Alligator mississippiensis: one gene and its partners. The protein of the gene in region 3 binds, or shares a complex with, the protein of the main gene of each other region. Links are inferred from orthologs where the notes say so. Each region holds a gene or a part of one and is shown on either strand. Other genes may lie near its edges. The genes, in order: CDH26, CTNND1 and CTNNA1.

Region 1 (3,745 bases), about 38 Mb from region 3:
TCTTCCTGACCTCTGAATGACTATGTGTAGTAGAGAGTGGAGACCTCTGTCCTTGCACTGCAGGCAGGCCCCCCTAGGAGAGAGCTCAGCTTCACACCGATTTTATGAAGATGGGGGATTTGCCCCTAACTTGCTCGTTCAGACTGTTGGTTAAAGGCAAATGACATGCAGCATCCAAACCCCAAGACCTCCATACTTGGTCCTGCACGTAGGCTGCCTGCCACGGCTTTGGAAGTATCTGAAGCTTCAGGCTGAAAGGTCTGGGAAAGAGGAGACTTGCTGGTGGTAGTGCCACATGGATTTGAACAACTGAGGTCAGCTCAGTCGATAGGATTTGGAACCGATTTGGCTAATTTATCCTGGAATACAACATTCAAACAAAAAGTACCACTACCATGGACAGGAGTCCCCTGTGGTTCAGTGGTAGAATCCTTGTCGACCAGACAGGAGACCTGGGTTAATTCCCAGATGCTTATACAACTACAGCCAAACATCTGGACTCAGTCTGGTCTTCGGGCTCTGTCTGAGTGGCCTAAAGGGAGGACGGAAAGTCTGCGCAGCCTCCGCTCCTCCAAAACATTCCTGCCCAGGCGTATGCGTCGAAGGTCTGCGTGACCCTCAGGCATACACCACGATCCAGGAGGATCAGTGGTTGCCACCACCACGGACAGGCTGTCCAGAGGTAACATTTGCTTCCCTAGCACCTCAGGTTTGGATGCAATAAAGCCAGTGGTCAAGAACAAAGCCAGTGGCTGGAGAAGGTGAGGGCAGACCCCAGCCTTTACCGCGGCTCAGGGGAGACTGGAGGGGAGCCCAGGGCCAGGTTGGGTGCAAGGAGCCAAGCTCGTGCCTCGCGCAGGAGAGGCCGGTGGGCGGGCAAGGAGCGGGGCGGGCGGGGCGGCGGCGATGCGGGGGCAGGGGCAGGGGCGGGGGAGGCTCCAGCGCCGCTCCCATAAAGGGAGCCGAGCCGCGGAGAGCCGGCTGCCATGGGGCGCTGCGCCGCGATGCTGCCGCCGCCGCCGCTGCTGCTGCTGCTGGTTCTGCTGCTGGTTCTGCTGCCGCTGGCGGTAGGTGCGGGCGCGTCCCCGGGGCGTGCAAGGGCAAGTGCAAGTGCACGTGCACGGGCGTGGGCGCGTTGCGATGGGAGGGTTGCACGCGAGATGCCTTCTTGCCCGTGGATGGGGAGCCCGATCCCCTGCTCCCCTTGCACTGGCAAGAGGCAGGGGTCACCGCCGCCGGGACCTGGAGGCACCTGGGTCCCGGGGCCTCGTTTCTGAGCCTGGGATCCTGGCAGCCAGGACCCCGCGCCCTGCGCTTTCATATGATTGCCCTTGTCCCATCAACCAGTTAATTGCATGATCCTTGTAGAGGGGGCTTGGGGTGCCAGTTTCCTTTGGTCTACTTGACTTCAGACTCCCCCGGCTCACTAGTCCCTTCTCCCCATCACTACTCCCCGCTCCCCATTACTAGTCCCCGCTTCCCGTCACTAGCCCTCTCTCCCCGTCACTAGTCCCTGCTTCCTGTCACTAGTCCCCTCCCCCGTCACTAGTCCCTGCTCCCTATCACTAGTCCCCTCTCCCCGTCACTAGTTTTCTCTCCCCGTCACTAGTTTTCTCTCCCCATCACTAGTCCCCTCTCCCCATCACTAGTCCCCTCTCTCCGTCACTAGTCCCTGCTCCCTATCACTAGTCCCTGCTCCCTGTCACTAGTCTCCTCTCCCCATCGCTAGTCTCCTCTCCCCATCACTAGTCCCTGCTCCCTTTCACTAGTCCCTGCTCCCCGTCACTAGTCCCAGCTCCCTGTCACTAGTCCCCTCCCCCCGTCACTAGTCCCTGCTCCCTATCACTAGTCCCCTCTCCCTGTCACTAGTTTTCTCTCCCCATCACTAGTCCCCTCTCTCCGTCACTAGTCCCTGCTCCCTATCACTAGTCCCTGCTCCCTGTCACTAGTCTCCTCTCCCCATCGCTAGTCTCCTCTCCCCATCACTAGTCTCCTCTCCCCATCACTAGTCCCTGCTCCCTTTCACTAGTCCCTGCTCCCCGTCACTAGTCCCAGCTCCCTGTCACTAGTCTCCTCTCTGCGCTTTGGAGCTCCTGGCTGCGCAGAGGCATCAGGCTTGCTTCACCCTCTTGGAAGAGGGCTATATCCTTTATAGCCAGAGTCCCTTCCTGCCTTGTAAGGTGAATGAGCATCACGAAATTACTACCGTGGTGTGAAGGAGTCTCAGTCATGGGCTAGGGCTCCATTGTGCCTGGTGCTGCATGAACAGCAGAACAAAAGGATGCCATGGAGATCCTGTAGTCCAAATATAAAATGATGGGGAGAGGGGAATATAGACAGACCGACATGTGAGTGCAAGGAAACCAGTTAAGCTATGTTGATCAGTATGATAGGCAGTGGTCTTTGCATCTGTGGTCTAGGTATTAAAGTTGTGGTCCATCCTCACTGAGGTTTGTGCATTTGCTTCACTCAAAGTCTTTCTCCAGGATCCAGCTTCTAGACAGGTGCAGGGAGAGGCCATAAACTTGACTGTTAAATAGGCAGGTTTTGGGCGGCACGGGGGGGTGTTATTCCTTCCATTATGACCTGTTAGAGTAAAAGCTGTATCGAGTAGGAGCCTCATTTAAGGATTTGCTGGTATGCTTGTCCTGCACAGCAGATGCTTGGGACAGACTCCCATCGCGCTGTACAGCTGAAGTGGTAGTTGTGCAGCTGCCTAACTCCTGTTTTTGGCACTCCTGCACCAATTTGGACTCCACAAACCTCCATGCAGTGAACTAGATGCACCCTGCTCACCTGTACGGGCGCTTGCTAGTAAAACCGAAGGACACAGTGGGTCCTTCTGTGTTTTAGTTCAATGCCTTAAACCAGAGCTTTCCAAACTGTGTGCCGCGACACATTAGTGTGTCGGCGGCAGTGTGTAGGTGTGTCGCGCGAAATGCAGAAAATTTTGCGGAGGGGCACTGCGGAGCTCCCTTACTCGCGTCTGCTTCCCTTGGCCCCTCCCCCGGAACTGAATTACTGTGTCGCGAAATGATGCATGTCTAAAAAGTGTGTCACCAACATGAAAAGTTTGGAAAGCTCTGCCTTAAACACTGAAGTACTTGTTCAGGGAGCAGCAGATCCAGGTTTTAAGCTCCCTTCGCTCAGAGGGGGATTGAACCCTGTATTTTTTGCTTATCAGCAAGTAATTCTTATCAGCAGATCAAAGGTTTGGCATTATCCAGACCCTCCTCCAGGGAACCTCCAAAATGAATTGATCTTGATAAACAAGTCACTCGGTCTCTTGAAGTAAGGGGCTCCGTTCTGTTGGACTGGCCTCAAGTTAAGAATATATCTACCTTAGTGTCCCTGAAGCTTTGTCCAAATACAGTTTCTCCTATTATCCCAAGCATGTGCCATTTTGGCCTACTGTGCCCCCGTAAGCTATGTGCTATGGCAAAATGTTAAGCCCCTTGAAAGGGGAGCTAAGAAGTCTAAAAGACAACTTCAGTCTCTGGCAGAGTTTATCATATTGGCCTGATTGCCCTCCCCAGAGTGTAGCTGGCTTAGCAAGTGAAGAAAATAGTGGGTCAGTGTCTCCAATCCAAACTCCAGTGACATGGAGGATGATAGGAGCTGTATCTTCAGTACAAACTGCAGACTTGTCTCAGATAGACAGGACTCTCTCTGAAGCTGAAGGTACCATTCAAGTTTTGATCTGCCTCCCTCCGAACAGGTGCCAAATCCAACCTGATTTAAATAA
Region 2 (3,745 bases), on a different chromosome or scaffold from region 3:
TAAATATTCAAGCCATGAGTCCTTCCCAGCAACTCCCACACTTAGCTAAGTGCTATCACATAGCACTAGTTCTCTCACAGGTTGGCACTCTTAGAAATGTAATCAAAGCAAACATCCTTCACAGCCACAATGCAAAAGTTTAGAGCATTTTTCTCCCTCTCTGTATTAATTGGTGGTTTGTAAATGTAATTTACAAGCTGTGAAGTGTATTGAATTAGTAATAGAAATTGTATTGAATTATACAATACAATACAGTAATACAAACTGTACTGAATTAGAAATACAAATCAAAGGAGCTCTCTTCTTCACTGTTTTTTAGGAGAAAGCAGGGAGTGAAAATTCCTAATCTGCTTTACCCAAAAATCAGTGTGCTTAATTGCTAGCAAAAACCTCTGGTTGAAATAAAACAGGAAACCACCCCTCAACCAAGATTTGATGGCAACTCTCACAATCTGGGCTCATATAGATAAATGTAGTCTAATCAAGGTTGCATTTCAAATCTCAGCCTCTCTTATCGGTTGATTATAAGCATGTTTCCCAACCCTCCTTTTTGCAATTCCCGTTCTCCTTTTGGGGTGCAAAGGAGGGAGGAGAGCACAGGAAACAACTACAAATATGTATTTGAGTTTGCCAACACAGAGAGAGGAGTGAAAGAAGGGAAAGAAAAGACAAATGAAGAGTGCTGGTAGCTGAGCCACATCTATACCCTAATGATTATCTTTTCAAGTTTGCTTTGTCTTTTCTCGCAGCTATTTTTTATTTCCTGCTCTGATTTTGTTTTCAGTTGTCTTCACCCAAAAAAGTTATTTTTCTGTCCCTTCTTACTCTCTCGCGCGCCCCTCTCCACCTTTCCTTTTTTGTTTTTTTTCCTCATTTTTTCCCCCTTTTTTTTTTTTTTTTTTTTTTTTTTAATTCCTAGACTAAAGTTTCCTATTGGATGTTTTCGGGTCCCTGATTGATGCCTGCTTCCCATTGGAGCTTTGCAGAAGCTGACATCACTTAGGGAAAGAGGGGTTGGGTTGGCAAGCTTAGTTTGTCACCACCCAGCTTGCTTTGCCTTTGGCTGGGTGCAACTTCCATTTTAGGTGTTGGATCTTGAAAGAAGGGGAAAGAAAAAAAAACCGCCAGAGAGAAAGAAAGAAGAGAAGATCCCAGGCAAGGGAGAGGTGGAAGAAGAGATTGCCGCTTTGCTCTTTTTAAATTCATTTGATCAGGGATTGGGCTCTCGTTTTCCTGTTAGGGATTTCTTGGGAAACTCGACTTTAGAGTTCTTTGGTGTGGCTTTTTTTTGTGGTGCGTGTGTTTGTAAAGGGCGAAAAGAAGGCTTCCACCCAGGGTCTTTTTTTGTTGTTGTTGTTGGATATTGTCATGCTGAGATATTAAAGAGAGGAGGCAGAGGAATAACCCGGCTGACAACTTCTCCCCCTCCCTCTTTCCATTTCTTAATCTGCTGCTTTGAAGAGCGGGGGAAAAAGATACAAGGAGGAGAAACCAACTTGGAGACTCTTGTTGGTGCAACTTTGAGAGGGGAGAAAGCCAGGGTAAGACTAGTTTCTTTCTTTTCGTTCTTTTATTGTTTTAAATGATGGTGGTGGCTGCTGTTGGTTTTTTAACTATTTCTGTTCTGGGGAGGTGAGTGTATCTGATGCAAACTAATACACAACTCCTGGACTGCGGTGTTGCAAGAGGGCTGATTTTATTTATATATCTATATTTATATATAGATATCCCCTATGTTTCCTAGGGGAAGGAATTCAGTCATGTTTAAAAAGGAAGCTTCAAGTTTGTTTGCACTAAGTAGGATATTTCTTTTAAAACTTTGGGAAAACTGAGAATTTCAGGGTGTGTTTTTTGTTGTTGTGTTTTGTTTTGTTTTTTTTGTTGTTTTTTTTTTAACTTGGTCAGGTCTCTCTTTTCAAGTATTCTCACTGGGAGTGTGGTTAAGCTGCTTTCTCCAGTACATTTTTTAGACCCACACTTTCTGCATGGGTGGATCCCTTTTTTCTTCCAGGTATAGTTGGGTGGGGACCTTTCTCTTAACCTTCTAAAAAGAATCCATGTTGAAGGAGAACTTCCCTCTTGATTTTTTCCTTTTTTTTCTGGGGGGGGAGGAGAGGAGGGTGAAATAAATGCAGGAGGTTTTTCCCTACCAGCCCCTTCAAGGATTCCAAGCTCTGATTGACAACTTGCTTGTTGACTTGCTCGCTCTTTCCCCCCTCCAAAAAAAAAAAAAACTTTACTGTTTTTGAAGTGTGTGGTAACTTAAGCACAGTACATTTTTTTTTCTTCCTTTAAATTCTTTCAAAAGATCATATACATTTGGTAAATGGGATGCATCAAAATAGCTTGGTAAGCAAACAGGCTTGAGTCAGTAATGTAGGAATGCAATGTAGTAAGATTTAGATGGCATTTAAAAGAACATCTACTTATACTCCCCGTAACCTGCCTTGAGCTCTTGTAGTTTTGTCTGGCATGGTGCTGTGATTTGGACTTGTTGGGTTTTGCTAAGAATGTTATATGAAAGCAACACACTAGGGTTTAGGATCCCCTGGTAGTGATAGTATGGGGTCTTTTTTCCCACCTCTCTAAATTTTGTAATTTCACCATAAAAAAGAGAAGTATCTAGTTTCAGTTTAATTGTGGCAGGCTAGGGTAGGGAACTAGACTGTGCTTCTGTATTCAGAATCATTACAGGGAATGCAGTGTGTGCTTAATGTAACAGTTCTGGAAATATGGTATGCTTTCTTTTCTCGCTTTGCTGTGCTAAGATGGTAATGCCTTATCTTAGATGACTAGATTTCATAGCCAGAGATTCTTGGAGGGGTGTGTGTAGGGGGGGATTTTTCTAGGTGAAGAAAACTAGGTCCTGGACCCCTTAAGACCCTTGTCTTATTCTGTATAATTAAACACCTGCCTCATTTCCCCCCAGCAAGGTCTTGGATATAGCAGAACAAGGAAAACGTTGTCCTACTTCAAGCAAATGTTTCTAGGGCTATTTGGGAGTGGTCCCTTTCAGTCCTGGGTTATGCTTTGGCATCTGTGGGGAAAGACCATCGAAGGCACTCTGAAAAGTAGTTTCAGAAGGATTGTGTCTTGTGGTAAAGGAGCAGCACAGTGTTGAGAGGCTTGGCTTGGGGTCTCAGCCTTTCAGTTTGCTTTGTATTGCTGTCTAACCCCCCCCCAGTTCCTCACCTCCCATGTCAGACATTTGACTGGGTTCTGGCGTGTCACTACTTTGAGCGAGGCATGAACTAGGAGGCTTTTCCCTCCTGCCCCCAAAACAAAGGAAGTTTGTGTGCCAGCCTCGCAGCTCTCTTGCAAGGGAATGAGAGAGTATAGCTCATCAGACAGGCATTTAGCATTAGAACAAGGGTTGTCTGGTGTTACAGACAGCGTCCTGTCTTTCTTCCCTGCTCTCTCATCATAATATTCCCTTTGTGTCAGAGGAGGGGGTAGGGGAGGTTTCTTATGTGTTGGGAGCAGGGAGTATTTTGGTTATGCAGATCTTTGGGGGCTTCTGAGCAAGGAAGGGGGTGGCTAGGGCCGAGTATCCTGAACTTTAAATCTTTTTTTTTCTGTGATGCTCAGGATCTTAATCTGTGTGGGAAGGACGAAGGGATCGGCTTTGTGCATTTGCAAGGGGGAACTCCACGTAGACCAGGCTTAACAATTTTAGCTCTGCCCTGGCTAGCTTATCTCTCTTCCTACTCTGTCTCCTGCTGTCTAATTTGCCTCCTCTTCCTTT
Region 3 (3,745 bases):
GCATGGGATCATGATCCTGGCAAGTAAGAGGCCAGTCAGCTCATCCCTGCTCCCAGCCCCTGGAGCGCGCTGGAGTCCGGGGCTCCTGTGCACCCTGCGGCTGGGAGTGGCAGCTGATCTGCCCTGGTTCCCTGCCTCAGGGACACGTTGCCCTTAGCTGCGATGTGTCTGAGCTGGGCGTGGCAGGCAGCTGAGCAGCACTCCCGGCCTCCTGAGCGCACAGGAGTTGAGGGCTTCCAAGGCTTTTTTTTTTTTTTTTTTAAGAAATTTGTTGTGTTCCAGCCAAATCAAGTCCAAATCCATGAGTTGGTCCAGAACCATAAGTGGCCCTGCGACTAGCAAACATCCTCCACCCCCATCTGGGGCTTCAGATATTTCCAGAGTTGTTTGGCAGGCATCCTATGTGCAGGCCCAAGCCTGGAGGCACGGGGTTAGGATGTCCCCAAATTTTGCCTGCCCTCAGCCATGCATCTGCAGGAGCAAGCTAGGGAGGAGCCTCCCATTTCCATAAACTGGTCTTTAAGCCCCAGCACCTCGGAGGGTACTAAACCACACCACAACAAGTTATCCCCCCGAGCGCTTGGGGGAAACTGCCTTCACCGACCTGACCCAGGTGTTTCCCCCGCCAGGTAAGCAGGCCTGCTGAGGAGGGCCATTGAGCTGGGCCACATGGGCGGTTTAGGGCCCAACGGGAACCAGCCACAAGGTGAACAGGACAACTGAGCTGGGGTGGTAAGGTTGCGGTTCACTCTGTGGTGCCACTGACACGGGCCCGGTTACTGCAGGACTCGAGTCCCGGGTAGCCGGCTCGCTGTTGTCAGCGCCGTCTGCCCAGAGCCACCGCTTCGCAGGAGCAGAGGAGCCCCGCGCCGGCCGGTCCCGTCCAGTCCAGTCCCGTCCAGTCCCGCCTGCCGAGAAGCGTCGGGGCGCGAGCTGGAGTCCGAGCCCGCCGCCGCCGGGACCTGCGGGACGGGACCCGCCCCGCCCCGCCCTCACCTGTGCGGGGGGCGGTGCGGGGAAGAGCCAGGGGCCGGCGGGGCGGTGCTGGGAACAGCCGGCCGGGCCGCGGGGGGAGGTGCCCGGAAGAGCCCGCTTCCTCCCCTCTGGCTTGGGACGGGCGCGGCGGGCGGACAAAGCGGCGCCGGGACAGACGCACGGACGGACAGCGCGGACCGCGCACCGCACCGACCGCAGGTAACTCCCGGCCCGGCCCGGTTCCGCCTCTTAGAAACTTTTCCTGCTGCCGCCCCCGCCCCGTGCGCCCCCTCCTCGGCAGGTCCCCTCCGCTGGGCCGGGCCGGGCCGGGGCCGGGGCGCTCGGGACCCGCTCCCAAAGTTTGCAAAGTGCCGAGCGGGCGCGGCGGGAGACCCGGGGGGCCCGGCTGTCCCGGGCAGGCGGGCGGGGCCGGCGCCGCCGGACGCGGAGAACAATGGCCGCGCCCGCTGCTGCCCTGTGGCTGCCGAGGCCCCGGGCCGGGCCAAGGGGGTGCGGGCGTTGCTTGGGTCGGCCGCGAGAGGGGCCGGGCGGCCCCCCCCCCCCCCGCAAGCGGCGGGAGGCGCGGGGGTGGGGCGGCGCTGACGTCACTGCCGTTCCCCGCGGCGATGCCCCCCCACCCCACCCCACCCCACCCCACCCCCCCCGCCCGGGCGGCCCCTTCCCCGCCCCCCCCCCGCGCGGACTGTGACGCGTCCTCCGGCTCCCTGCGCGACTGCACGGACTTCGGAGCCGCCCTTCCCCAGCCCCTCCCCCGAGGGGTGTTTCCCCCATAATCAGCGTGAGGAAGAAAGCCCCTTGCATGCAAGGAAACCTCCTCACCTACATTGTCGGCAGCTTTTTGGGCAGTGCTAAAAAGGCCTGAGCCCGGGACTTGTAAGGTGTGGCAGGGGCCCGATCCTTGTCGTGACAGCGGGGCCACGGCCCCTTCTCTGCCTTCCACCTTGCGGGGCGGGGGGTGCCAGGGAAAATGCCTTCACATGCCATGCTCTGGCACCGGTGCTGGGGATTGCCATCTTGAACTATCATGTGCTCAGCACTTTGCTCCCGCAGCTGAGCTGTGCCTTTCTTTACTGTTTCCAATGATTCCTGTTTCTTCACTAGCCTCAAATGTCTGGCAAATGCCACCAAACTGGGAAGGAGCAAACAGGTCACGCAGGATCCCTCTGTTACGCCCCCTCTTTCCCCAGCACCATTTTTAAGTGCTAGGACATTGATCCCCTGATTGAACAGCCTGCAGCTCTGTCCCGCTCCCCGCCCCAGCTCCAGGGTCCCATTCACTGCCCTGGTTGGGCAGCGCCCCCTGCCCCACTCTCTCCCTCCCTGTGGGGGCCTCGATCTGCCCCTGCCCTTCCCCTCCACAAACTTACCTGCACAGAGCTGCTCTCCAGGCTGCCCGGCTGTGCTCCTGTAAATGGGTTATTGGATCAGTATTGGCTGATATGCCTGATGAATAATCAGCTATGGGTATCGGCCAAGAAAATCTTTATTGGTGCACCCCTTCCTTCCATAAGAAAGGAATTTGAGAAATTAAGCAGGAGTAATTACACTGGGTATAATTTCAATTCAGGTTAAAATTCTACCTAAATAAATTTTCAATTTGTAGACTCTGGCAATGTTTGGGTTTTTTTGTTTGTTTGTTTGTTTTTATAAAAAGCAATTTCGCCATAAGCTTCAAGGGAAGCATTTCAGTAACTGAATCAGGCAAAAAAAATGTCTAAATTATCATTTCCTTCACTTAATTTTATCAGACCTGTGAAATGTTTATGAATTCATTGTCATTTACAGATATCAAACAGCATCTCAAAGTTCATAGAAGGGAAACTAAATAGTTCATAATGAGCCTGTTTATTCTGCGTACTTCAAAAGTTTAACACTGACCATAAAAACTGCAAGACATTTTCTTAAATGTTTTAGTTAGGGAGATGAGTCCTAATTTTTAAGCCATGCTGTGTGTTTTTCCCTACCACTTTAAACCTTTGATCTCTGCTCCAGAAGTTTTGAAAAATAACTGAAAAGGTAGAACTACCATATTTACTAAAATGTAAGATAACTGGGGATAGATGAAACTCATCTCAATAATTAGTTCTTCTTGGGGAAAGGGGATGAGCAGAGGGATAGAAGAATTTGCATATGGGTTATTTTAGACTAGGCAAACACAGAGAAGTGTGAGGAAATTTAAGAAGCTTCTGATAAGTGCATGGACAGCATGATGCCAAATGCAGTTCCTTATGGATAGTTCTTTTTAAAGAACGTTGGAGAGAGATTTTTATCTATTTGTGCACCATAGAGCTTGACTTGTTTAGGCTCATTGCCCTCTAAAACTTTAAACTTTAGTGGCAACCCAATTTAAAAAAATACAAATGGATTACAAATATTGTAATTATTAAAATAAGTGTAATGATAACTGTTAATAGAGTCTTAATTTATTAGATCATTATTCACTCCACTGCTGCTGCAGCCATGTGGAACTGTGCTGTATGCCCTCTGCAGAGCCAGATTGGGAAGCAGCTATGGCAGGAACTTGTGGTCTTGCTGCAGCTCTTCCGAGTCTGACCCTGCATGGTGTCTCCTGGAAACAGATGTGTGGGGCAAGTGAAACTGTCTGCCTTTATTATGTAACACAGACAGTGTGTCTTTCTGCTGCAGCTACTTCTCAGTTTAGCTCTGAGATGCCTCCTAGACAACAGGTGCATGGGGCAATTTCATCCCAAGTCACTGTCAGTGTTGTAGTACCCGTGGGAGGTTCTTG

Evidence for each region.
Region 1: CTNNA1 (region 3) and CDH26 share a complex: the UniProt entries of both Homo sapiens proteins name them as parts of the cadherin:catenin adhesion complex. The link is inferred for Alligator mississippiensis from reciprocal best matches to the Homo sapiens genes CTNNA1 and CDH26.
Region 2: CTNNA1 (region 3) and CTNND1 share a complex: the UniProt entries of both Homo sapiens proteins name them as parts of the cadherin:catenin adhesion complex. The link is inferred for Alligator mississippiensis from reciprocal best matches to the Homo sapiens genes CTNNA1 and CTNND1.

What each region holds. Positions count from the first base shown.
Region 1 is NC_081832.1:7,416,504-7,420,248, reverse strand, and holds the start of CDH26 (cadherin-like protein 26), read left to right. Parts: upstream 1-997; 5' UTR 998-1,004; coding exon 1,005-1,067; intron 1,068-3,745. UniProt on the Homo sapiens protein: Cadherins are calcium-dependent cell adhesion proteins. They preferentially interact with themselves in a homophilic manner in connecting cells; cadherins may thus contribute to the sorting of heterogeneous cell types.
Region 2 is NC_081825.1:172,458,615-172,462,359, reverse strand, and holds the start of CTNND1 (catenin delta-1), read left to right. Parts: upstream 1-1,026; 5' UTR 1,027-1,166; exon of another isoform or gene 1,167-1,461; 5' UTR 1,462-1,541; intron 1,542-3,745. UniProt on the Homo sapiens protein: Key regulator of cell-cell adhesion that associates with and regulates the cell adhesion properties of both C-, E- and N-cadherins, being critical for their surface stability.
Region 3 is NC_081832.1:45,892,334-45,896,078, reverse strand, and holds the start of CTNNA1 (catenin alpha-1), read left to right. Parts: upstream 1-1,109; 5' UTR 1,110-1,194; intron 1,195-3,745. UniProt on the Homo sapiens protein: Associates with the cytoplasmic domain of a variety of cadherins. The association of catenins to cadherins produces a complex which is linked to the actin filament network, and which seems to be of primary importance for cadherins cell-adhesion properties.